7 linked regions of the Macaca mulatta genome follow. The protein of the gene in region 1 binds, or shares a complex with, the protein of each later gene. Links are inferred from orthologs where the notes say so. Each region holds a gene or a part of one and is shown on either strand. Other genes may lie near its edges. The genes, in order: SF3B5, CWC27, PHF5A, DDX46, SF3A2, SF3A3 and CWC22.

Region 1 (2,330 bases):
TTATTACGTCTACAGTGTTTGACCTCCTTTCTCCACCACCAGCATAATGTAAGCCTCAAGAACATGGGAAAATGCCTGTCACATAGAGCTCAACAAATATTTGTTGAATATAGAAAGGATGAACTCACTTGCCAGCTTGTCATTTCTGGAGACATGGCCACAAATTCCCAAGAAAAAGAAAGGATGCATTTTAAAGAGGCTAAGGAGGACAATGACAGCAAAGACTGCAAAGACTTTTAAAACGGGAGAAAAAGAAAATGGGATACAATAACTACAAACTTCAATACTGAAGGCATTGTGGGCCTGAAAATAACGCTCTTGGGAGAAGTGGCAGTCGGGGAATTAATTATAATGGTAGACAGGGTGGATTTAAGTACCTGATCATGGACACTGGCATGCACTCCCTCCCCCGACCCATTTCCCGCTCGGGTCTTTCAGGAGCCCTCCACCCTAACACAGGAAGTTCACACCAAGAGACTTAATGATTTCTAAACTTTATGGAAAAAGCCAATGACAATCAATTAGCCAAAAATGAGACGCCAAATCCCATCTCATTCCAGCGCCACGCCCTCTTCTCAAACGCTTGCCGGCTCTAGGCCCTCTTCACCAGCACAGTTCTCAGGAGTTCTGCTGGTCTCCCAGTGCTATTCCAAAGGGTTCACATGAAGGCAGGTCAGGCGGGATTCCCCGGGCAAGCACTTCTGTACGCGGAAGTACCAGACGCAGGAGCCATGGAGAGCCGGTCCTTTGGAGGCAGAAATAGTCGAAGGGATTGGCCAACCTGAGGAACACTGGGAGAGGTGCCCCGCACAGTGGTGGTAAGGCAGAGTCTCAGTTCTCCTCGGGCTTGTCGGCTGGCGGTCCACAAGGCTGAAGCATCTTCTCCATCAAATTGAAGCGGACTCGCGCTTTGCTCTCATTCTCTGCAATGGCGAAGTAGTTGAGAAGGTCGAAGTGGCCCATGTAGGAGCAGTACGAGTCGCGGTGTTGGTTCACCAGCCACTCCCACTTGGTGGTGTCGGCGTGGCCCGTGCCGATGTACTTGGACTGCAGGTGCTCCAGCTGGCTGTGGATGGTGTAGCGGTCCGTCATCTCGCCGCTTTCCCCTTAGTTCCCAGGACAGAGGACGCAGACAACAAACCGCCGCTCTGGCGTTTCACGCGGGAGTGAGGCCACCGTGCGGAAGCTCCAGGCCCGCGCCGTCGCAGAAGAATGGCGTCACGACGACTAAGTAGCGTAAGTCTCGCTCATAGGGCTCAAAGGCGGAAGCGGAAGCACATTCTGTCACGGAATTGGAGTTGCCGAGGCGACGCCACAAGTGTGTCGCCCCTGTAGAGAGCCCCGCCCCGTCAGAGAGCGTTGCATGATGGTCCACTTGGTGGCTATGGGAAGCCCTTTTCCAACAGGGAGCCTTGCATGCTGGGACTTGTGGTCTTGGGAGTTCGTGCTCGTAGTCTTCTGGAACTCCTGGTCTCGTTTTGTTGTTTGAGACAGAGACTCGCACTGTTGCCGGGACTGCAGTGTAATGGCGCGATCTCGATTCACTGCAACTTAACGCCTCCTGGGTTCACGCGATTCTCCTGCCTCAGCCTCTCCAGTAGCTGGGATTACAGGCGCACACCACCACGCCAGGCCAATTTTTTTTTTTTTTTTTTTTTTTGTATTTTTAGTAGAGATGGGGTTTCACTGTCTTTGCCTGGCTGATCTCGAACTCCTGATTTCGTGATCCTCCCTCCTCGGTCTTCCAAAATTCTGGGATTACAGGCGTGAGCCACTGCGCCAGGCCCCTGGTCGCGTTTTAAAAGTGATCTGGGGACCTAGTGGAGGGTGATGTCTGGGAGGTGGGGAGCATCCGTGGGTGGCTTGGGGCTGATGGGAAATGGGAAACCCAAGTAGGACTGGACTACAAGCAGCCCCGAAAATAAACTCTCCGTGTTTTCCAAAGCTATCATGGTAGCACAGCCATCCCTTCACAACCAGGGATGGATTACCCAGAAGTCGGCAGGCACAAGTTCTGGTCCCAGCTATGTCTTTTAGGAGTCTGTGGCATAAAAGAGTTATTTCAGCTCTAACCAGGGTGCTTGGTGAGCAAGTACAGCACCAATTCCCACACATTCCGGCTTCCACCTCAAGCTCCTCCTTCCCCTCTAGCCACTTATTTTGATATCCTTCCTCCAAGGCCTCACTGCACCCTACTTGGCCCTTCCATTCAGTGGGTTTTGTGGATTCAACCGACCCGATTGAAAATATTTGGGGAAAAAGTCAGTCTGTACTGAAGTGTAGACTTTTTAAGGTTATTATTCCCTAAACAATACAGTATAACAACTATT
Region 2 (4,074 bases), on another chromosome or scaffold:
CTCTTAAAATTCCCAATTAATACTTTGATAATATCATGTTTCTTATAAATATATATGCAAATATACTTATAAAGCCATTTTGATTTTCAATACATTTAAAAACTAAGTATGTACAACAATAAGACAGACCCCTATCATTTGAAAGCAACATTATGCTAAGTGAAGACGCCAGACACAATTTAGAATAAGTGATCATAATATGTGGAAATTTCATCTTCAGGGAATTACCTCTTATGCTTAAAAAATTTCTATCAAGTACTATATTTCTTTGCCTCATCTTCAGGGGCTAGGGTTACAGCAAAACACAGAACATTTATGGACAACCAGGGACCAAGCACTGGTATCATTATCAATTACTTCCCAAGCTGATACTAAGCACTTTGAAGGGAGGAATTTTGTCCCATTTACTCTGAATGTCTCTGTACCCTTTCAGTACCTAATGTACCATTAGATAGTCAAGGCAATAAACATTCATTGAACAGACTTATTACATTTGCTTCAAATTCTTCACACACCAAATTTTTGTCCACACTCTCAACCTTACAGAACTTAGAAGCTTTAATATCTTTGATGAGCCTTATGGTGGAAAAAGTCCCAAGTTGTTTTTGGATGAAAACTTGGGCCCTTGTGTTATCATTCAGCCCATTTCTGTTCAGAAGACAGTATTTATCACATTTTGTAGTTAAACATTTATTTGCATGATTATTCAGTCAATGTATACTTCACTCAATTAACTCATGATAACTCAGACAATGTGGTTTTTTTTGTTTCCGTTGTATCCCTAAAACCTAGCATAGAGCCTGGCAATTGATTTGCTCAATCATTATTTGTTGAATGAATAATCTATTCAGGAATATATCCTTGTTAAAGCTTTTCATCTATGTGACCATGTCAAATCTTCCTTTACAACAAAGCAATTAAGTCTGTCCTTGACCAGCAGCAGTGTAACCTCAAACTCACTGATGCTTAATATTCCTCAAAAAACTAAGAAAAATATAGTATTAATTCATCCATCCATTCGTTTATTCAATACATAACTGTACTCCTTCTATCATGTATCAAGTACTGTTCTAGATGCTTGTCTCTGCCCTGATGTTCCTTGCATTCTATAGGGGGAAGGTAGGAGGAAGGATACAGTAATACCAAATAATTAATAAATACCATGGAAAAAAACTAAAAAAGTTAAGGGGGCCAGAGAATGCTGGGATGCAAGGCATGATTGAAGTTTGCTATTTCATAGAAAGTAGGTAAGAAAGGACTCTTCGCTAAGGTCAACACTTGATTAAATAGAGGAACAGCAAGTGTGAACGCCCTGTCTGGCAGTATGGTAAATCTATTCAATCTCTACCAGTATTTATTAACTGGGGGTGATACTGCCCTCAAGAAACATTTGGAAATAGGAGGAGGTAGGTATTTTGGGTTTTCACATTGATATTAAATAAGATAGGTGAGGGGTGGGATGGACCCAGTAACCTACAATGCCCAGGAGAAGTTCAAAGAATTGAAAGAATTGAGCTGCCCAAAATACCCATTAAATTTTTGCTGGGAATTACAGCATTTTTGGTTTTGCTTTTAAATTGCTCTCATTATATTATCAAATGTCAATGAATAAAAGACTGCATAAATTATTTATGATGTAATCATGTAACGAACAGGATGGTATGTTGTGTAAATTTAGCTTATCTTAATTCAACTATATAATTTAAATCTCATTTTCTCCAATATGCTGATTCATCAAATTTCATATGAGATAGGCTAGGTCTCAATTTAAGAATTCAGGTGACAGTTATTCCACAACGGACTCTTCAACACAAACACCTTGGATGGGAATTGGCATACATTAGCCATCAAATCAATTAGAGGAACCTTTCCCCACTCTAATGTGGTAACAGTCCCCATTTCCCACTTTCTCTGACTGACAGTCATCTCAGGTTTTAAAATCAGCTCAAAAGATACCTTTTCCATGAGGTTTTTCCTAACTTTCCCAGTTGTTCACTACTCAGTACCGCCATAGCAACGTGGTCTCTTCTCCACAAGCACGCTTATCAGACATACAGGCTTTTGTTTACCTGTCTCACAAACTAAACTATAAGCTCTTCCGGGAAAACAACTACCTTACCCATCCATCTTTGTATCTCCGGCGCCTAGTACAGTGCCCAGTGCCTAGCAGGCGTTCAATTAATGATTGCAGAAGAAATGCAGAATGAATGACCTCAAAGTTAAGCAAAGAATATACCAAACTCAGAAATGTACGTTTAAAAACCTAAGACTCTAGAAATCGGTTGCATGAGCTGGGTTAAAGCAGAAAATAGGACCGGAATGCTGGTAGGTAGAGAAATCTCCACCTGACTTTTTCAAGTACGTCCTGAAAAGTATAAACTTCAGTGTTTCGACGCAACATTGTCCACATGCAGGAGTAAAGACAACACTTATCGTGGTCTCTTCCTACCACGAGATCCCGAAACCCGTCCCCCACCCCAAATTTGGGAAATCTCACTTTGGAGATCCCAGGACCCCAAGTTCCCTAGATGAGGCTCTCACCTTCCCATTCGTGGGAGGCTCCTGGATGTAGATGTTGCTCATCCTGGTCAGTACAAAGGACTCTGCTCCTTATGAGGGATTAGAGCGGACGGCCGGTCACTAAAGCTGTCCGCCTAGGAGTACACTCTTTCTTAAGTCGAGTGATGCAGGAAAACTTCAGTTTGTCAATATCACGCAAGACGGGGACACCAAACACTGCCCTTGCCTAAAGGAGCCCCTCACGGACGCCGCCATGTTGTTACCGGACCCGAGCACCGCTAACCCTGAGAAGGGTTATTCCAGTGTACTCCAGGGAACGAGAGAAGTCTGTAAAGTTATTATAGCTTAATGTAATTTGTATTACAATATTAGAAGGGACACTTCATAAGTCTTGGCTGTGTTTACACTACTCGCGTGTGCAGATCAAACTGACCCCCCCCCCAAAAAAACTATCAGTAATGGTTCGGACCATGTGTCTTCTGCACTATGACTCGTCCGGAAACTGCATCCGCGTCTACTGGTTCTGCTGCCGCTAGAAACGTACAGGGCCTTCCTCACCGTAGCGAAGGTGCTGCTGCGCTGGGGGAAGGAAAACGGCGCTTTGGCTGTGCCTTGTTCTCGCAGCTGGCGGGAAGCAAGCGCCACTTCGAAAGCCGGAGGCTCAAGTGACCCCTTACCATCGTCATGGCAGTCCCAGGTAAGGAGCAGTTACAGGGCCTCTGCGTCCGAGATCCGAAGGGAGCACAAGGGAGGGTAGGGTAGGGTGCGGGGTGTGGGGATCAGTGCCCATGGGGACTTAGGCGGAGGCCTTAAAATTCACAGGTTTGTTTTGTTTACATGAAAAAGTTTACACTCCAAAGATACACTCTGAAGGAAAGAAAGTAACTGTCTTCCCCCAGGAGCCAAGCCCCAGCTGCATGGGATTACAGGGAAAGTGTATTGTGGAAGGGAGGGAGGAGGGGGAGACTGTAACTGTGGGCCTAAGGGGGCGAGCAGCCAAGAAAAACTACCTTAACTGTGGTATGGTTTAAAACTAAAATTTGAAGTGGGAACACTTGGCCGACCCAGGTAACCAGAGGCGTCGTCTGTCCTAGAAGTCGCTAGGACCCACCGGGTGTCCCGGTTCTACTCCTAGCTCTTCCTGTTGTATGTAGCTGCTCCGTGGCCATAGATTGGTCGTTTTGTGCTTCTGGGCCTCAGTTTCCTTATAAAAAGAAGGAGCTTTGTTGAATTATATATAAGATTTATTCTAACTCTCAAATTCTGTGTCCAGAAGTTACTGACCTAAAAACGGTGAACTCTGCAGAATAATTACTTAAAAGATTTTCTCTCCTCAACTACCAGCTTACTTGGAAGTTCTAGTAGCTGAGAGCGTCTCCTCAAACTGGCTTTGCCACTGCAGAACAGTGGTTGCAGGAGACATTTTCAGAAATATACACTCCTACACCCCACCTCCCAACTTGGAAATTCACAGTGCGCCTTAGTAATAGAAAAGATTCTGAGAATTACTATGGTTCAGAGCCCTAACTTTGTTTAAACCTGCCCTTCCCAGTA
Region 3 (4,250 bases), on another chromosome or scaffold:
ACATGGAGAAACCCCGTCTCTACTAAAAGTACAAAATGGGCTGGGCGTGGTGGCGCATGCCTGTAATCCCAGCTACCCGGGAGGCTGAGGCAGGAGAATTGCTTGAACCCGGGAGGCGGAGGTTGCGGTGAGCCGAGATTGTGCCACTGCACTCCAGCCTGGGCAACAAGAGTGAACTCCGTCTCAAAAAATAAAAAACAAATAAATAAATAAATTAGATAACTGGGTACTATCATTAACCTAGTGAGACTGTATCATACTTCCTTTTGTTTTGTTTTTTGAAGAAAACATGCTGATTCATAGTTTTCCCCCACAAAATCCCTGCTGCCAATACTAAACGAAAGAAATGGGGTAAACCTTGCCTGTAGCACTGGTCTATAAGCTCTCTCTCCTGGCATTTGGCTCAGATAGTTGAATAGTAAGTAACCACTGCCACTACGCAGTGTCAAGGGACAAAAAAAAAGTCATGATGCAGGGCCACAATCACTTCTGCAATATTAAACCAAAGGTACTTGTTACCTGCTTAAAGCTGAAGTCAACTTGAATCGTCCCAAATTCAACTTTGTCACGATATACACCCGAATAGTGCTTAATGATAGATCTGAGACATTAATGAGTGGCTATGACACAACATGGGCTGTACAGGCCTTATAAACAGACAGGGTCTCTGTCACCCAGGCTGGAGTGCAGTGGCATGAAAATGGCTCACTGTAGCCTTGACCTCCTGGGCCCAAGTGATCCTCCACCCGCCTCAGTTTCCCAAGTAGCTGGGACCACAGGTACACACCAGCACACCCGACTAATGAAAAATATGTTTTTCTGGCCAGGAGTGATGGTTCATGCCTGTAATCCCAGCACCTGGTGAGGCTAAGGCAGGAGGATCACTTGAGCCCAGGAGTTTGAGACCAACCTAGGCAACAAGACAAGACCCTGTCTCTACAAAAAAAAATTAGCCAGGTGTGGTGGCGCATGCCTGCAGTCCCAGCTACTTGGGAGGATGAGGTGGGAGGATCGTTTGAGCCCGGGGGAGTCAAGGCTGCAGTGAGCCTTGCACGTGATCATGCCACTGCACCCCAGCCTGGGCCACAGAGCAAGAGACCCTGTCTCAAAAAAAAGGAAAACAAAAAAACAAAACAAAACCAAAAAACCAAATTGTTTTTTGTTGTTGTTTTTGAGATGGGATCTTGCTCTGTGACCCAGGCTAGTCTTGAACTCCTGGACTAAAGTGATCCTCATTAACTTGGACTCCCAAAGTGCTGAGATTACAGGTGTGAGCCACCACGCCCAGCCGGATGTCATTTCTGAATAAAAATAATCACAGAGAAACATGAATAGAGAGAGGGCTCTTCAAATTGCTGGTCTTGACAAAGATTTGCTTCCCTTGCATTTTTCCCCTTGATGCAAAATAACTGCCTTTTATTGAACTACACCCAGTTTGACTCACAGAACTTGAAAAAATTATAACCTAGATGACTAGATGAACACAGTAATCTCCATAGACCATAGGAGATTGCAGTGGATGGCAAAAAAGCAGGAAACAAAAGCAGGAAAGGTCAGATGGAAAGCTGTACACTTACATCCTTCTCCTGGATGGTGCACTCCTTACAATAATACGCATCAGAGACCCCAGGGCCTCCACAGATCACACAGCGTCCCTGGTAAGATCCATAGTTACACTCATCACATATGCGCACCAGAGTGCAGGGACGCACATAGGAGTCACAAATCACACACTTGCCATCACCTGTAAGGAAGAGAATGGAGTCATACTCACAACAAGTTCTTCAGTCCTCTGCTATCTCCTGCCATGGGGAAATACACTAGTCTCCTTTTGACAGTGACTTTAGGACCCTCCTCTTGGCATCACGAAACTTGGTTTACCCAGTATCCATCTCAAGTCCCTCAACATATACAAAAGTTTATCAATTAACATATGTAAAGAGCCTAGAAAATCACCTCAGAGATGATAAGCCTATATAATTGGCGGCAAAGTGCTGTGTATTAGGGAGGGGTCATGCTACTCTGGCAATTTTTCCTGTTGAAAACTAGAGAGATACAGCGTTAAATGTGCAAGTGGCAGTGGGGAGACAGAGGGGCCTTTGGTTGAAGTCCAGCATTCAGTGTTCACATACTTCCAGGCACATCTACTCAAAGCCCTCTTTGTGGCACTTTTGCTGGTTCCACAGAAACTGGGAGTGGGAAGGGTGGGCTGTTGGGACGGAAGGTTCCACTCACATTTTTCACACAGTCTTCCGATGGCTGCAAGATGAAAGATGGTTAAAAAGTACAATTAGAATAAAGGTTTTGACAAACGGGAAGTACATCCTGGAGCTGGGGGTAGGGAAATGAGTACGGACTGCAGTGATACCTGCGGATAGCCATTTTATCATTACAAATTTCCAAATGAACCAAACCCACAGCCCAACCACCCTTCTGAATCTCCTCCAACGTCCTGGGGCAAGCTCTGAGTTTCTGTGGACCTGGCCCAGACCCCACCCCCGATACCTGCCTGGGGCTCCCAGCACGCGCACCCCCGCCCTCTTCTCATCAGCGGCCACAAACCTGTGCGTTCCTACAACACCCCGCGCCCGAGAGGCGGGAAACGTGGCGCCAGCTGGGCAAGCCACTAAGGAAGTGATGGGAACCCCCGACCCCCCAGCTCCTAATACCACCCCTACCCAGACAGACAGGGGCAGGGCGCAGTCTCACCAACACCAGCCTGCTTGCGGCAAAAGATCAAATCAGGATGATGTTTAGCCATAGCTCCCAATTAAGCCGGCCACCGGAAGCTTCGGGAACTTCCGTCCGACCTTTATTTCCCATTGTTCCTGCCTCCACGTCGCTGTGATTGGTCCTCTAAGCTTCCGTCAGTTTACGATCCTTGCACCAGGCCCCTCTTGCTCTCGCGCGAGTTTCTGTCGCTGCTGTGTGGCCAGGTCCTGGCAGGTGCATGAAAGTCTTAAAAACACTCCCAGATTTGGATGGCAGAGATAACTAAAATTTGTTCTTGGATAAAACATATTTGTGCTTGGTATCTACTTCTGCAAGTGTCTTTAGGCAGTTCTATTTCCTCTTGCGTGTCTGTTCATTACTCTTGAGCTCCGCTCATTGCGTTCCCAGGGTTCTGGTGCCCCTAGGGAGGCCTCGCCTTCACCGTGACGCCCCACTCTTCCGGGCACGCCCCTGCCCAAAGGCTTTAAAAGGCGCCGTTTGGGACGTCACTTGCATGCGACCTCATCTTTGTCAGTGCACAAAATGGCGCCCTACAGCCTACTGGTGACTCGGCTGCAGGTGAGCGAGCTCAGGGACCTCTGGGTTCACGGGGGCGGGGTGCCTTCTACTGTGCCGGCGGCTATGGGCGAGGCAGGGCGAGGCGGGCCCGACCTGGGGCCAACTTCTCGTGTACCTGTTCCGGTTGTGGGCCCGGCACCCGTGTCCGCTCCTCTGGTGCCCTAGGTCAAGGCGTCCCCGGCACAGTCAGCTTTCCTGGCCCTGTCCCCGCCTCGCAAGAAGCGTGGGCCCAAGCAGCGGCGGCCGGGTGAAGAGCGGAGGCACCTCTTTCTTCTTTTTGAGGACAGCATTCCCTGCTCCCGTGGGGTGTCTTTCCATTCCTCAAGGTGAGGACAAGGTGACTAGGGGGCGCGGTCGTTGTTGAGCCTTCTAGGCCCAGTTCCTGAGGCCTCACTTCCCATCTCTTAGCAACAGAGACATGACAGCATCTACGGTTGCCAGGCCTGGAGTCTGGAGAAGAAACTAGGACCCTGTACCACCTTTTGAGGACCCTGCGGAACATGGAATGCCCGAGGGGGGGAGGTGGTCTTCTGGGCCCCTACGTAGTAAATAATAATAATAGTCTCTCACGTTTGCACAAGATTTGAGGACTGTTTTTTAATTCTTCATAATATTATTTGATTCATGTAATCATAGGAATGAGATGATTTTTCTCATTTGATAGGTGATAAAACTGGTAGAAAGTAGGTGGAAGTTCTGGTTCTTAGAGTGTCACCGAAGTGCTGTGGCAGAAGCATGGGCCCTACCACCACTGAGTTCTTGTTTATGTCAGCCTGCCCTCACAGAACTTTCTGAACCAGGGTGCGATGATTTCTGTTTGTCAGAATGCAATACGAATATTTTGAGCTCACAGTAAGTTGCTTGTCAAATATGGGAGGATAAGGAGACTCCAGTTTGACCTTGACTCCCCCGTTAGGAGCTATCTAGAAAGCTGACCGACTGCCAGATGATTTTTTCAC
Region 4 (3,500 bases), on another chromosome or scaffold:
TATGTTTATTCTACAACCAAGCACTTTCACTTCTAGAAATGCACACTAGGAAAAAGTTATGTGCATATATACCAAGAGATACACACACAAAAGCTAATAGCCCAAAGGTTAAAACAAACATCCATTTTCAGCAGAATGGATAAATTATGGGATATTTATACCACAGAATACTACTCAGCAACGAAAATGAACTACTGCTGTAACATGTGAATCTCAAACAATGTTGAGCAAAGACACATATGAACACATGACTCCATTCATGTAAAGATAAAAAGAAAACATAAATCTAAATTTTTTTTCCAGATGCAAACGCAGTTGTAAAACTATAAGGAAATGAAGAAAATTACTAGCACAAAAGTCAGCAGTGGTTTCACCTAGCAGGTAGAGAGTTAGGTCAGAGAAGATAAATGGAGGACTTACGGGATACTGACAATGTTTTATTTCTTGACTTTGATGGTGGGCATATGATATTTGTTTTATAATTACTTAATAAACTACATGTTTTTTTTTTTTTTTTTTTTTCTGAGACAGAGTCTCACTCTGTTGCCCAGAGCTGGAGTGCAATGGTGCCATCATCTCAGCTCACTGAAACCTCCGCCTCCTGGTTCAAGCATTTCTCCCACCTCAGCCTCCCAAGTAGCTGGGATTACAGGCACGTGCCACCATGCCCAGCTGATTTTTTTATTTTTAGTAGAGATGGGGTTTTACCATGTTGGCCAGCCTGGTCTCGACCTCCTGATCTTGTGATCTGCCTGCCTCGACCTCCCCAAGTGCTGGGATTACAGGCATGAGCCACCGCACCCAATCCTAATAAACTGTATGTTTATATTTTGCTCACTTTTTCTGAATTTATATTTTGTTTTTAACTGAAATAGAACTTCCAGAATGGGCAGAGTGGCTCACACCTATAATCCCAGGACTTTTGGAGGCCTAGGTGAGAGGATCGCTTGAGTCTACAAGTTTGAGGTTAGTGAGCTATGTTCTTGCCACTTCACTCCAGCCTGGGCAACAGAGTGAGACCTTGTCTGAAAAGAAAATGACAGAGTTTCTACAAAGATGTCTGTAAAATACATTTCCGATCAATAGTATGTATTAAATAAGAATACAATGTATTGACTGTTAAAACTGACAGAATCTAGTATTTTCCAGCTGAATTACAAACATTATAACCGATTAAAATAAAACATTGCCAACAGTTCATGGTAGGAGCCAAATACAGTTAATTCTCTACAAAAATAAATTTAAAGGAAAAAAAAGAAAGGCGCAGAGAAGGGAAGCAGTCCCCAATATGCATTATAGATGGAGCCCAATGATAACATTACCTATTCTCAATTTTCTTGCTTTTATTGCCAGGACTGGAGGATCGGGATCGCCGGCCCCGGCTTCTACTCCTTGAGCGTCTCCTGTCTCTACTTCGAGATCTTCTTCGCTCTCGGCTTCTGTCTCTCTCTCTACTTCTGGAACGTCTGAAAGGGGAACACTTTTCATTTATTCTATGACCAAATGGAGTTACTATTTCAAATCAGGATTCTGTCCCACATTGAAAGAATCTTAATTACTACCATCATTAAAGGCAGAGATCTCAATGAAGTAAAGCCAGGTCTTACAAGTGCTCAATGAAAGAAATGAGAATACTAATTTTTTTTTTTTTTAGACAATGTCTCAGTTCTGTCACCCAGGCTGGAGTGCAGTGGCACAATTGCAGCTCACTGCAACCTCTGCCTTCCAGGTTCAAGTGATTCTCCTGCCTCAGTCTCCCCAGCAGCTGGGATTACAGATCTGCACCACCATGCCAGGCTAATTTTTTTTTTTTTTTTTTTTGGAGACAGAGTTTCACTCTTGTTGCCCAGGCTGGAGTGCAATGGCACGATCTCGGCTCGCCACAACCTCTGTCTCCTGGGTTAAAGCGATTCTCCTGCCTCAGCCTCCTGAGTAGATTACAGGCATGTGCCACCATGTCCAGCCAATTTTGTATTTTTAGAGATGGGCTTTCTCTATGTTGGTCAGGCTGGTCTCGAACTCCCATCAGGTGATCTGCCTGCCTCAGCCTCCCCAAGTGCTGGGATTACAGGCATGAGCCACCATGCCAGGCCAGAGAATACTAATTTCATAAAGATGTTTGTGAAAAAACATAATAAATCTGTAATTAACATCGATTTAAAATTGATGGTCTAAGATAGAATATCTAGTTTCAGATAGCCTAAACCTAAGTATAAGGATGGGCATAATGGGGCTACTAAAAGATCACTGATCTGAAGATGAAGAGGCAAGAATTTCTATCCTACCAGCTACTCCTGGTAACTAATGACATGATACAGGTCAGATCTCCAACTTTCTGGGTCTCAGTTTCATCATCTATAAAATATGGAGACTTCACTTGACATCTTTGAAATCCTTCTTGCTCTAAAATCTTTTTTTTTTTTTTTTTGAGATGGAGTCTCGCTCTGTCACCCAGGCTGGAGTGCAGTGGCCAGATCTCAGCTCACTGCAAGCTCCGCCTCCCGGGTTCACGCCATTCTCCTGCCTCAGCCTCCCGAGTAGCTGGGACTACAGGCGCCCGCCACCTCGCCCGGCTAGTTTTTTGTGTTTTTTAGTAGAGACGGGGTTTCACCGTGTTAACCAGGATGGTCTCGATCTCCCGACCTCGTGATCCGCCCATCTCGGCCTCCCAAAGTGCTGGGATTACAGGCTTGAGCCACCGCGCCCGGCCTGCTCTAAAATCTTATGATTCTACTTTCACACCAAAAAGTCAAAGACCAAATGTTAAAATAACCATTTTCACTTAAGTACTTGAATTGTGTGAAATTGTACTAGGACCACAAAATGTGAAAATGAATTAGTTAGCACTACCCACATTGTCACGTGAGAATTTTTTCCTTGAATCCTATGTAATACCAATGTACTCCAATGTCTGAAAAGGATGAAGTTAAATTCTTTCTGTGATCCACTCACAACACAACCTTGTCTTCCTTTCCTATTTTAATGAGAAACTGGGCAAGGTATGGTATCTCATACCCGTAGTCCCAACCTTTTGGGAGGCCACTAGCAACACAGTTAAGACCCCCATCTCTATGAAAAGCTGTTTTTAATTGGCTGGGTGTGGTGTGTACAGAAGATTACTTTCTATTTTTCTGTTACGAGATGGAGTCCTGATCTGTCGCCCAGGCTGGAGTACGGTGGCACCATCTCGGCTCACTGCACCTCTGCTTCCCGGGTTCAAGCAAGTATCCTGCCTCAGTCTCCCGAGCGGCTGGGAATACAGGTATGCACCAACATGCCGGCTAATTTTTTTTTTTTTTTTTGAGACAGAATTTTGCTTTTGTTGCCCAGGTTAGAGTGCAATGAATGGCACAATCTCTGCTCACCGCAACTCCACCCCCACGGGGTTCAAGTGATTCTCCTGCCTCAGCCTCCCCAAGTAGCTGGGATTACAGGCATGCACCACCACACCTGGCTAACTCTTTTTTTTTTTTTTTCAGTAGAGACGGGGTTTCACCATG
Region 5 (3,747 bases), on another chromosome or scaffold:
CTCCCCACAGCGATAGAGCTGGGCCTGATTTGTCAACATGCTGTCCTTGAGGGCCCGTCCCCAGAAGGCACAGGAGTGGGAACCAGGCTGGGAGTGATGGCCAAGCAGCCAGACTAGACAGCGCTGGGGGCGGGGGGCCCAGATGTCCTGGGTGCTAAGGGGTGGGCCTGGAGGAGGAGGGTCCCAAGTCAGTGGGGGCGCCCTGTCCCTGCTCACCTTCCCAACCCCTGGTGGGCTATCTGGAGACCCCAAGGATATCACAAGAGTCTGCTCTTCCCTCCCCAGGACAGGACCCCAGACCCCCTCCTAGCTGGCTGGTGGAGTCTGTCCTCCACCAGGCCACCTCCAAGGTACAGCTGTCTCTCAGGCCTCCCACAGGTGTCTCCCGGCAGGCCCCAGGCCCTCCCCAGTCGGCGCAAACTCAGGGATGGTGCTGTGCCTGGCACTCCCACACAGCACTGACAAGGGAGGGCGGCGCTGCAGACATCAGTGCACTCGGGGCTGGGGAAGGCTGTTTAATGAGCAGGGGGCGGTACAAAAGAGCAGCCTTCTCTCGATGGCAAAAGGCAGGAGCACCTGGCGCTGAGCTTGCTGGGGGAGGGAGCAGCTTCTCAGTTGGTTGGGGGAGGGGGAGGTATGTTCCCTGGGCCTTCGGAGGGGAGTGGGGGCCTCAGCATTGGGGGCATGGGAGTTGGGGGGTGTACCCCAGGATTTGAGGGGTGAACTCCAGGAGGCTGAGGGTGGACCCCAGGAGCTGATGGATGGACCCCGGGAGGTTGGGGGTGGACTCCCGGGGCCTGAGGGTGCATCCCTGGGGCTGGTGGGTGCACCCCCGGGGCCTGAGGGTGAACAGCAGGGGCTGCTGGGTGTACCCCTGGGGCCTGGGGGTGAACCCCCGCTGATGGGGGAGGATGGACCCCCGGGGCTGGTGGGTGGACTCCGGGGGCTGGTGGGTGAACCCCGGGGGCTGGAGGGTGAACCCCGGGGGCTGGAGGGTGGACTCCGGGAGCCGGGGGGTGGACCCCAGAGGTTGGTGGGTGGACCCCAGGGGCTGGGGGATGGACGCCAGGAGCTGGGGGATGGACCCCAGGAGCTGGGGGATGGACGCCAGGAGCTGGGGGATGGACGCCAGAGGTGGGGGGATGCACCACTGGGGCCGGGGGGTGGACCCCTGGAGCTGGTGGGGGTAGCTGGGGTGGTCCCGGGGGCCCTGAGGGTGCAGGCCCCGTGGGGGGCATGGGTGGCAGAGGTAGGCCTCCCGGCGGTGGCGGTGGCAAAGACTCGGGCAGCGGTGGCCGAGGGGGCAGACCATTCATCAGCGGAGGTGGAGGCCGCTTCACCCCAGGGGGGCCGGCGGGGAGGCTGGGCGGAGCCGGGGGCTTCTCCATCTTAAAGTGGAACTGGAGGAAGAACTAGAGAGACGGAGAAAGGTTCAGCAGGCACGGGCAGGGCTAGGGCCACCGGGGCTGGGCAGGAAGGAGCCAAGCTCAGGGCTAGCCACTCACCTGCTTGGTCTCCCGGTTCCAGTGTGTCCAGAACTTGCCCTCCGCCTTGTCAATCTCTCTGCTCGGCACCTGGGAAGGCGGGGGACAGAGAGGGCTCCTGGTCCCTGTGACCTCAGGGTAGCCATCAGGCAGGGAGCCTGAGGCGTTAGCCTCCCCGGCCCGGACTCCACCCTGGGAGCCCAAGAGAAGGCCCCGGCCTGGTAAGACTTTCGATGGGCACAGGGTTCAGTTCTGGAGTGACACAGACCCGGCCTCCACGCTAGCACACGCTGGCCCCCGCCCTGGACAGGCACCGTTTGTATTGTTTCCTGATGGCTGCTTTGTCCAGGCGTAGGCACAGGCTGTGGGAAGCCCTCCAGCAGCCTAGACCAAGAAGCGAGGTCACTTGGCGAAGGCCTCACAGGCCCAGCGCTCAGCCCTGCCGGCCTCCCTTCTCCATGGGCACAGTGGAGCCCAAGCAGGCCCCCTCCTGCAAAGCCCAATGGGAGGGGTACCCTGCCCAGCCTGCACAGACCCTTCTGGCTCCGTCTCGGGGATCCCAGGGGACCCCACAGCCTGATAGGAGGGGCGCCCTGCCCAGCCTGTGCAGATCCTTCTGGCTCGCACATCTCAGGGGGCCCTGGGGCCCAGGGGACCCCGCAGCCATGCTACCTTGAAGGCGATGGTCTCATAGGGCTCAGCGGCCATGAGCAGGTACTGCCAGCGCCGGTCCGGAGGCTCAATCCTCTGCTCGTACGCAGACATGAAGCGGTGGCGTGGCATGATGCCCTCGGCGATCTCAGGGTAGTCGATCTGTGGGGACACAGCCGGGTGGCAGCGCCACCTTTCAGGTGCCTTCGGCCGCCCCCCACACCCAAGCCCCTGATCTCACCTGGAAGAGGAGGCTCTGCTGGCCCATCTCCGAGTCCCTCTGCTTGGTCACTGCAACACAGAAAGCTCTCAGGTCCCGGCTGCTTGTCCTCCCCAAAGCTGAGGGACCTGGGGCAGGCTAATGCCACCCACTGAACGAGGGCGAGACCCCAGGGGAGGCCCTGTGGCTCCAGGCAACCGCCAATCCGCCCAGGCTCTGGGACTCTGGTATAGGTGAAGGCACAGGTGCGCCAGGGCTGAGCTACCTGCGGAGTCACTCGGGCAGGGACCGAGGGTGGTACTCCTTTGTCCTAATCCCCAGAGCCCTTCACCCAGGGTGCTGGGACACTATCCAGCAGGAGTCGGGGCCACTGGGTAGGGAGCGGCCCATGGCACCCTGGCTCTGGGATTAGAGTGGGGCCGCCTGAACAGGGCCAACACCATCTATAGGGTGAGCGGGAGAGGATGCCTTTCCCACCAGAGCTCAGCAGCCTGGACCCCGAGAATGGCTGCTGGGCCGCCTACGGCCTGGCCACTCTCCAAGCAGCCTCAGACACGCACACTCACAAGCCCTCCACCTCCTCACTGCCCTGAGCCCAAGCTCAGGACCTGTCAGGGCCTCCCCACCAGGAGTCTGCCGCTCTAGCCACCCTCGTCCACCCAGCACACCTGCCCCGGGGCCTGTGCCCTGCAGGCTCCTGTCTGGAGGCCAGGCACACAGGCTGTCCCCATCTTCCGTAAAGAACATTTGCTGGGGCCGGGCGCGGTGGCTCATGCCTGTAATCCCAACACTGTGGGAGGCCGAGACGGGTGGATCACGAGGTCAGGAGATCGAGATCATCCTGACTAACATGGTGAAACGCCGTCTCTACTAAAAATACAAAAATTAACCGGGCGAGGTGGCGGGCGCCTGTAGTCCCAGCTACTCGGGAGGCTGAGGCAGGAGAATGGTGTGAACCCGGGAGGTGGAGCTTGCAGTGAGTGGAGATCACGCCACTGCACTCCAGCCTGGGCAACAGAGCGAGACTCTGTCTCAAAAAAAAAAAAAAAAAAAACACTTGCTGGGTAGCGTGCCCGCCTTCCTGACCCTACAGACACAAGGTCTGTCTCTTCCACCCTGGCCGCTTCCCTGGCTTTCTGAACCAGGTCACCTCCTGCCATTCCCACTGCTGAGGGTCCCGGAGGAGCCGCCTCTAACAGCCGCTTCTTCCTGTCCTCCTTCAGAGGCTTCAAGGTTAACCGGAGGAGTGTGCCAGGGCTCACCACACCTCCACTTCCACTCTTTGGCTTGGCAAGACTCCCCAGAAGCTTCCACAACACTCGGACAGGAGGGCACAGACTGTGGCTCAGCTGGGAAAGGGGCCGCTGGGTGAGACGGGTGCTTATCGGGCTC
Region 6 (3,500 bases), on another chromosome or scaffold:
TCGCACCATCACACTCCAGCCTGGGCAATATGAGCGAACTCCATCTCAAAAAAAAAAAAAAAAAAAAAAAAAAAAAAAGCAATAATTAGGTGCGGTGGCTCACGCCTGTTATCCCAGCACTTTGGGAGGCCAACGTGGGTAGATCACTTGAGGTCAGGAGTTCGACACCAGCCTGGCCAACATGGTGAAAGCCCATCTCTACTAAAAATAGAAAAATTAGCTGGGCGTGGTGGCGCTTGCCTGTAATCCCAGGCACTAGGGAGGCTGAGGCAGGAGAATTGCTTGAGCCCAGGAGACGGAGGTTGCAGGAGCCAAGATTGCACCACTGTACTCCAGCCTGGCGACAGAACAAGACTCTGTCTCAGAAACAAAACAAAGGCTGGGCGTGGTGGCTCACGCCTGTAATCTCAGCACTTTGGGAGGCCAAGGCGGGCAGATCACGAGGTCAGGAGATCGAGACCATCCTGGCTAACACTATGAAACCCCATCTCTCCTAAAAATACAAAAAATTAGCCAGGCGTGGTGGCGGGCGCCTGTAGTATCAGCTACTGGGATGCAGAGGCGGGAGAATGGCATGAACCCAGGAGACGGAGCTTGCAGTGAGCTGAGATCGTGCCACTGCACTCCAGCCTGGGTGACAGAGTGAGACTCCATCTCAGAAAAAAAAAATTAGCCAGGCACAGTGGCGCGTGCCTGTAGTCCCAGCTACTCGGGAGGCTGAGGCAGGAGAATCGCTCGCACCCAGGAGGCGGAGGTTGCAGTGAGCTGAGATCACGCCATTGCACCCCAGCCTGGCGACAGAGCGAGACTCTGTCCATCCCAAAAAAAAAACAAAAAAACAAAAAACAAAAAAAAACAACCACAAAACAAAAAACAGAAATGCAATAATAATACAACTGTCTCAGATTTTACATATCCACAACCTACTGCCTTTAATCCTGGATACACAAGGTATCAGGATGCTGACTCGAAGGAGGACAGGCCATTTGTACTGGCCTAGGAGACAGTAAATAAATGTTACTTACAGGAGACAGCATCTTCAATCTGTGTCACATTAGCAAAGTGAGCAGTGTTTGGGATGCCCAAACACCTCATGCCATGAGCGTGACGCCATTCCTGGGAGAAGAGAGAAGCAAAAGGATCATGTGAAATGGGAATAGCTGAACACACAGAGCACTAACTCCATTCTACTCATAAATCCTAACGTGGCCCTTTACAAGACTCCACCGAAAGGCAGCATTCCTTTTGTGTTTCATGTTTGTAAACCGCTGGCTGTGACTGACAAAAGGCTGGTATTTCAAAGACACATCGCATTGTTTGCCTCACTGGGTTGGCTTGTAAACCTACATTCCAGACCCAGTAGTCTTACACATAAAACCTCTGGGTCAAGATCACAGGAAAATATCACAACTCTAACTACATCTCCCATATTGCGGGAGAACTCACCAAAGCCCCAGCAACTCCAAACACCTGCATGAATAGGGTTACTAATGGCAGGTCAGCATCATCTTTGTAGGTAAAGGAGAAGACTTTTATCAGGCACAACGATGTGGGGAGGAGAGAGCAGGGAGATTATACACTGACATGATGGCAGTTTTAGCTAAGGGATGGTAAATGGCACAGGCTTTATCTGGATGCCAACTCCAATCATTGTAGGAGGTGCTAGGAAGGATTCAGAACTCACTCATGGGCTCAGCAAAAAAGACCCAGGATCAATTAGTAATATGTATGACTCAGAGAGGGGGAGAGGAGTTCATATAAATTTGTCATCCTTGGTCTAGCATAAATCTTTTCCATTCTGTAAAATGTCCTTCCAAAATCTAAGAACTAAAAGTAGAGCCCACTTAGAGATGAGCCCACTTACAGCAGTACCACCTGGACAATACCTTGTCTCAAGAATGGTTTGATAAAGATCAGCCCCTTAATTTTTTTTTTTTTTCTCAAGAGGCAAAGATCCATTTATGATCTGAAAGAGGTAAGTCCTATTCTTGATCTTGAGTATTAGTAATGGGGTAGAGAAATAACCAAGAAGTCAGAAGTTGGTCTAAAATGCTAGCAGAACGACAAAAACAGAGAAGCGTTAAGAGCAGGCAAGAGAAAACCAAGTAAGGTTTAAAGAGCAGAGTGGTAGAATTCCTCCAGAAACTATCTCAGGTATTTAAGACTAACATTGGTGCCAAAAGTCAAACACCATGGGCTTGATTTTAAAACCATCCTTCTCTGATTCCCTTCGGCTCTGGACACCAGAGGTCCACATAGGCTACTTCTACTCTCTTTCTCTAAAAGTCTCATGTTTTTACTTCAATTCCCAGAAAAAATGGCTCTGAATTCCTTACAGCAAAGTGTCGCTGGAAGGCTTTGGGTCCTCGGTAGGTGTAGTTTCCACAAATCTCACAGTTGTAGTTGATATTTAGGCCATGAAGTTTATACAGCCAGTAGGGAATAGGCTAAAAAAGAAAAAAGAAAAAAAAAAAAAACAAGAAGTAGTGTTAGCCTACTAAACTCTGTATCTGTTTCCAAAATAGGGAATGGGGAGAAAGTGGTAGTTCTGAGACTTACTTTGCCATCCCAGCCAAGTGGCAGGTTTTTGGGGTTGTAAATGATCTCGTTCTCTTCATCTTCACTCTCACTCTCACTGATCTGCTCTTCTTCCTCCTCTTCTCGCTCTTCTCCTGTCCTGGCTTGCTTGCGCTGTACATTTTCATGAGTGAGATGTCGCTGTTCCTAAGGCAGGTCCATAAATGAAAAGTCAGAAAAAACTAGTGCAGAATAAGAAGGGAAATTTCCTGTTTTCCTACAACTTTTGCTGACCCCTTACTTCCAAAGATAAGGTTCTTTCTTATAGAATAAAGGAAAATCTTGCCTTCATATCAGAACTCCTTATCAGCAGGCTCTACCTGAACCCAAAGCAAAGAGTAAAAGGTTTTACATTACTTGCCTGATTACTCATCTGAGGCTATTGTAGAACAACAGAAAACAGTCTCATCTATTCTGACTCTAAAATATTTCCTGGCTGGGTGTGGTGGCTCAAGCCTGTAATCCCATCACTTTTGGAGGCTGGGGTGGGAGAATCACTTGAGGCCAGGAGTTTGACATCAGCCTGGGCAACACAGGGGGATCCCATCTCTACAAAACATTTACAAATTGGCTAGGCATGGAGGTGTGCACCTGTGGTCCCAGCTATTCAGGAGGCTGAGTTAGGAGGACTGCTTGAGCCCAGGAGTTTGAGGATGCAGTGAGCTATGATACCACCACTACACTCCAGCCTGGGCAACACAGTGAGACTCCATCTCAAAAAAAAAAAAAAAAAAAAAATGCACCCAATACAGGAGCACCCAGATTCATAAAGCAAGTCCTTAGAGACCTACGAAGAGACTTAGACTCTCATACAATAATAATGGGAGACTTTAACACCCCACTGTCAACATTAGACAGATCAACAAGACAGAAAGTTAACAAGGATATCCAGGAATTGAACTCAGCTCTGCACCAAGCGGACC
Region 7 (4,186 bases), on another chromosome or scaffold:
TTGACAACAAACAGTTGTCAACAGTTTGGCAACACCCTCACAGACACACCCAGGATCAATACTTTGCATCCTTCAATCCAATCAAGTTGATATTCAGAATTAACCATCACAGATAGTATTGTGGGTTTTTAAATATATAAATACAAATGTTCATCTCCAGATCCATCTCCTGTGCCCTGTATTGGTACACCAAAGTGCACCATCAACAATGGCCAAATATCTTAAATATGAAATAAAATAGATAACACTATTGTATACTAGCAATTATCTTAAACGTATCTTGTGAATCAACTAATTCAATTCTTACAACTACTGCATGAATGGGTACTACTAGTATTTCCATTTAACAGATCAGGAAACGGCCACAGAATGTGAAGTTACTTGCCCCAATCATCCATAAATAATCAAAGGACTCAAGATTCAAACGTAAGTAGTCCAACTGCAGTGTTTTTATTCTTAATTCTCACACTTTGCCTCCAGAAAGGAGTGGAAGCACAGCACCCTAAAACTGTAATAGAGAAGTGTGTGGAGAAATCAGGCCTGGTTTATGAAAGATTTGATAACATAAAGATATTCTTGTTTTAGAAAGAGAGTTTCCAAAATAGTAAGTAGTTGAACTTTTACGTTTTGTTACTAGTGAAAAGTGAAGTTTAAAGAAACAATTTGTTTGATGCCCTAGTTCTGTATGCTGTACAAACTGCTACTTCCTACTCAGCCAGGCAATCTCCTTATTCTCAGGTCATACCAGTTGGTACCTTAACTTAAAAGACAGGCAACATAGTCTCTACAGAATTATTTTTTCCTCATTATTTCACTCTATTTATGATCTAATATTCTCCCATTCTCTTGGCTTGGATGTCTTGGAATTTATTAGGCACTTGACTCTTGGTCAAACTCTTATAAAAAAAAGTCTCAAGAAAATCTCTCACTTAAGATTTTCAAGGAAAGTGACAACTGACTACTAAAAAAAAAAAAAAATTCCCAAAATGCAGTGAAATACTTTTAGATTAAAGTAAATTTGCCTAGACCCTAAACACTGCTAGGCTGCCAGTCAGCAGCGTGGATGTTAACTCGCTGGCGCGCATCTGTATGAACTACAATTCCCATCGTACACCGCGCCATTTCACCGCTAAACTACAATTATGCTTTCGTCATTTCCGTCAGCACAGGTGCTGGATTTCGGACTTTGTAGTTCATGCCAACTTCTTTTTAGTCGCCATTTTGATAAGAATACAGTGTGCCTGGATCGACTGCTTTGACTCTGGCATTATGATATGGTATCTGAAATAAATTAAAAGGATAACGCGTCAAGCCAATTGAGCGTCAAGTTTTTATGTATTTCAGTATCTGCCTTGTTCCTACTGTCGGTGCTCGGGAAGAGGAAGTGACGTACATCCGGTGTAATGGCGGCGCGGTGCAGCTTTAGGTAATTATCGAACTCCGCGGAGTCCCCGTAGGCACCGAAGCGGAGCGGGGGTGGCGGGTTGCCGGGTTGGGTGGGAAGTGAAAGACCCTGAGGAGTGGGTGCGGGCTCACTGATACGGCTGTGAGCGGCATTGGAGTGTGCGTGGGTCTTCCCGCCACGCTCGGGCCCGCGAGAGGGGTGTGAGAGTGGCTGGGTCCGAGGAGTCCAAGCGGGTGGGGAGCGAATGGGCTGCGGTGAACTGACTGACTGCCTGAGCGGACCGGCTGACCTTCCTTGTGAGGTTCCTGCAGCTGTCTGAAGTCCTGCACCAACGCTGGTGCTCTGTTGTTTCGTGTGCAGTGTGTTTTATACTTAGAGCCTCTGGAGTCCATTGGGCTTGCCAAAGCCCCTTTCCCAGTGCCTGGGGAGTGGGATTAATGAGCTCTAGTTGATTAAAAGTTAGTTGAAGTACTTGCACTCTTATGCCTCTTTCCGGCGTTATATCCCTTTGGCTATTTGTTTTACGTTTCATTAGCGGTTTCTTTTTCATTTATTTGCCCTGTAAATACTGATAGTTTCTGGAGTTTAGTTTTGAAGACGCTTCGCTTCTCTTGTGTCCTCTTCACCTGTCATTCTTGATCCTTACATAACTTGAACTATCTCCAATGAGGTAATAACTGCTAAACTTGGGTGTCCAGACTCCACCTCTCTAAGGAGCTTTGGGTCCTGTAACACAGCATTATAGAACGGAAATATAATCGTTAATTTCACTGAGTTTAACTGCAAAAACTACCATACCTATTTCCACTTAATCCTAACAATTCTTTTGAGGTAATTGGAGAAGGCAGGATTTGGAGAAAGGCTATTCTAGATGCAAGAATTAGGTAAGAGTTTCCTTTGCATTTTTGGATGTGCAGAGACTCGAAATAGCAGATAAACAAATTGGGTCCTCAGCAGATCAGTTATCCTACCTCTTATCCGTATTTAGACTTATCTTCTTGTAGGATTGCTTGTGAATTCAGGAGTTAACACAGATTATCCTACTATGCAAGGGCAGATTTAAAATTGACATTAAAAGTGTGGTTTTGACCAGGAGAGGAGAAGCCTTGTTACAGGCCTTATCAGTAGGTTGAGGAAAGCTACTTTTGTTGGTCCTGGGTGATGGACTAGTAGACCAAAGATTTCAGTTTTATTTAGCTATTATTAGGTCTGTCACTTGGAGCAAGTTAAAGTCTCTATTATATATAGTCAGCTTCATCATCTGAAAACATGTAGGTAATAATACAATACCTGCCTCACTGTGTTGTCTTTTTTTGAGTATAAAGAAAATAATGCAGATGAGGCACTGAGCACAGTGCCTGATATACAGTGTTAGCTTTGTATTATTGTAAATTGCTACTATGATACAGTTGATGAGTTCTGTCTGTGCCTCAGTTCTTGCCCTCTGGGTCTGAGTGTTGCCTTTCCACCTTTAAGTGTCCTTCCAGGTTTTTTTTTTTTTTTTTGAGACGGAGTCTCACTCTGTCGCCCAGGCTGGAGTGCAGTGGCGGATCTTGGCTCGCTGCAAGCTCCGCCTTTCGAGTTCACACCATTCTCCTGCCTCAGGCTCCCGAGTAGCTGGGACTACAGGCGCCAGCCACTACGCCCTGCTAATTTTTTTTATTTTTAGTAGAGACGGGGTTTCACCATGTTAGCCAGGATGGTGTCTATCTCCTGACCTCGTGATCCACCCACCTCAGCCTCCCAAAGTGCTGGGATTACAGGGTGAGCCGCTGCGCTCGGCCAGTGCCCTTCTAGTTTTAAGTGTCCATGCCACTTTTATGGAGTCTTACCCAACTCAATTGACTGGGGCTCTGAGACCGTCTTGGTTATAAGTTAAAGGCCAAGAACTTTGATCTAATACCCTGGTCTAGTGGTTCCAAAAATGTGGTCTCCTGAATCAGCAACATCTCTTTGAAGCTTATTAGCAATGTAAATTACTGGGCTTCACCCAGTTCTGTTGAATCAGAAACGTAGAAATGCAGGCCCAACAGTTTTTTTTTTTTTTTTTTTTTTTTTTTTTTTTTTTTGCGCCAAAGCATTCGAGTGATTCTCATGCCAGTTAGTTTGAAAACTTCTGCTCTAGCCCATCTTTTAGGGGCATGCTATGGTTCATCCTCCCCCTGTCCTCAGAATCAGGTTTGTTTCCCTCCTTGCTCCAAAGTACTTGATCCATGGCCAGCCAGTATTTATTATTATGCCACCACATCCTTCCCTGCTTTGGATAGATTACCTCCAATCACTTTTTGGAGTTCTGACACTTCCTAGACTACCTGGTTTTTCTAAGCGAGCTTTCTTAGCTCTATTAGCTTTCCCAGCTGTTGAATTTTTAGAAGTTAATTCTTCTGTTGGGGCGCGATGGCTCATGCCTGCATTCCCAGCACTTTGGGAGGCCACGGCAGGCGGATCACTTGAGATCAGCAGTTCGAGACCAGCCTGGCCAACATGGTGAAACCCTGTCTCTACTAAAAATACAAAAATATGTAGCAGGGTGTGGTGCTGTGCATTTGTAGCCCCAGCTACTCGGGTGGCTGAGGCAGGAGAATCACTTGAACCTGGAGGCGGAGGTTGCGGTGAGCCGAGATCACTCCACTGCACTCCAGCTTGGGTGATAAAGTGAGCCTCTGTCTCAAGAAAAAGAAGAAGAAAAAGAAAAGAAGTTAACTCTCCTTCCCCATGATTGAACATTGTTGAATGACCTACAGTGGCTTGTACCTGAGACCACCCAGAAGACAGCACGGT

Evidence for each region.
Region 2: SF3B5 (region 1) and CWC27 share a complex: the UniProt entries of both Homo sapiens proteins name them as parts of the minor spliceosome. The link is inferred for Macaca mulatta from reciprocal best matches to the Homo sapiens genes SF3B5 and CWC27.
Region 3: the proteins of SF3B5 (region 1) and PHF5A are in contact, whole or in part, in a cryo-EM structure (PDB 7EVN), measured with the Homo sapiens proteins. The link is inferred for Macaca mulatta from reciprocal best matches to the Homo sapiens genes SF3B5 and PHF5A. Residues at the interface, in NP_112577.1 of Homo sapiens: Arg4, Tyr5, Thr6, Ile7, Gln10, Leu14; in NP_116147.1 of Homo sapiens: Pro6, Asp7, Leu8, Ile9, Phe10, Cys11, Arg12, Ile88, Leu91.
Region 4: SF3B5 (region 1) and DDX46 share a complex: the UniProt entries of both Homo sapiens proteins name them as parts of the 17S U2 SnRNP complex. The link is inferred for Macaca mulatta from reciprocal best matches to the Homo sapiens genes SF3B5 and DDX46.
Region 5: SF3B5 (region 1) and SF3A2 share a complex: the UniProt entries of both Homo sapiens proteins name them as parts of the 17S U2 SnRNP complex. The link is inferred for Macaca mulatta from reciprocal best matches to the Homo sapiens genes SF3B5 and SF3A2.
Region 6: SF3B5 (region 1) and SF3A3 share a complex: the UniProt entries of both Homo sapiens proteins name them as parts of the 17S U2 SnRNP complex. The link is inferred for Macaca mulatta from reciprocal best matches to the Homo sapiens genes SF3B5 and SF3A3.
Region 7: SF3B5 (region 1) and CWC22 share a complex: the UniProt entries of both Homo sapiens proteins name them as parts of the minor spliceosome. The link is inferred for Macaca mulatta from reciprocal best matches to the Homo sapiens genes SF3B5 and CWC22.

The regions. Positions count from the first base shown.
Region 1 is NC_133409.1:49,348,244-49,350,573, forward strand, and holds SF3B5 (splicing factor 3B subunit 5), read right to left. Parts: upstream 1,194-2,330; 5' UTR 1,093-1,193; coding exon 832-1,092; 3' UTR 501-831; downstream 1-500. UniProt on the Homo sapiens protein: Component of the 17S U2 SnRNP complex of the spliceosome, a large ribonucleoprotein complex that removes introns from transcribed pre-mRNAs.
Region 2 is NC_133411.1:72,813,327-72,817,400, reverse strand, and holds the start of CWC27 (spliceosome-associated protein CWC27 homolog), read right to left. Parts: upstream 2,801-4,074; 5' UTR 2,584-2,800; coding exon 2,542-2,583; intron 1-2,541. UniProt on the Homo sapiens protein: As part of the spliceosome, plays a role in pre-mRNA splicing. Probable inactive PPIase with no peptidyl-prolyl cis-trans isomerase activity. As a component of the minor spliceosome, involved in the splicing of U12-type introns in pre-mRNAs.
Region 3 is NC_133415.1:10,036,557-10,040,806, reverse strand, and holds the start of PHF5A (PHD finger-like domain-containing protein 5A), read right to left. Parts: upstream 2,801-4,250; 5' UTR 2,762-2,800; coding exon 2,710-2,761; intron 2,260-2,709; coding exon 2,236-2,259; intron 1,745-2,235; coding exon 1,578-1,744; intron 1-1,577. Other genes in the region: ACO2 (aconitate hydratase, mitochondrial), read left to right, coding at 3,256-3,291.
Region 4 is NC_133411.1:143,681,062-143,684,561, reverse strand, and holds part of DDX46 (probable ATP-dependent RNA helicase DDX46), read right to left. Parts: intron 1,467-3,500; coding exon 1,323-1,466; intron 1-1,322. UniProt on the Homo sapiens protein: Component of the 17S U2 SnRNP complex of the spliceosome, a large ribonucleoprotein complex that removes introns from transcribed pre-mRNAs.
Region 5 is NC_133424.1:2,994,037-2,997,783, reverse strand, and holds the end of SF3A2 (splicing factor 3A subunit 2), read right to left. Parts: intron 2,427-3,747; coding exon 2,377-2,426; intron 2,298-2,376; coding exon 2,157-2,297; intron 1,575-2,156; coding exon 1,506-1,574; intron 1,413-1,505; coding exon 612-1,412; 3' UTR 501-611; downstream 1-500. UniProt on the Homo sapiens protein: Component of the 17S U2 SnRNP complex of the spliceosome, a large ribonucleoprotein complex that removes introns from transcribed pre-mRNAs.
Region 6 is NC_133406.1:202,826,384-202,829,883, reverse strand, and holds part of SF3A3 (splicing factor 3A subunit 3), read right to left. Parts: intron 2,725-3,500; coding exon 2,560-2,724; intron 2,448-2,559; coding exon 2,337-2,447; intron 1,117-2,336; coding exon 1,026-1,116; intron 1-1,025. UniProt on the Homo sapiens protein: Component of the 17S U2 SnRNP complex of the spliceosome, a large ribonucleoprotein complex that removes introns from transcribed pre-mRNAs.
Region 7 is NC_133417.1:84,939,753-84,943,938, reverse strand, and holds the start of CWC22 (pre-mRNA-splicing factor CWC22 homolog), read left to right. Parts: upstream 1-1,386; 5' UTR 1,387-1,426; intron 1,427-4,186. UniProt on the Homo sapiens protein: Required for pre-mRNA splicing as component of the spliceosome. As a component of the minor spliceosome, involved in the splicing of U12-type introns in pre-mRNAs. Promotes exon-junction complex (EJC) assembly.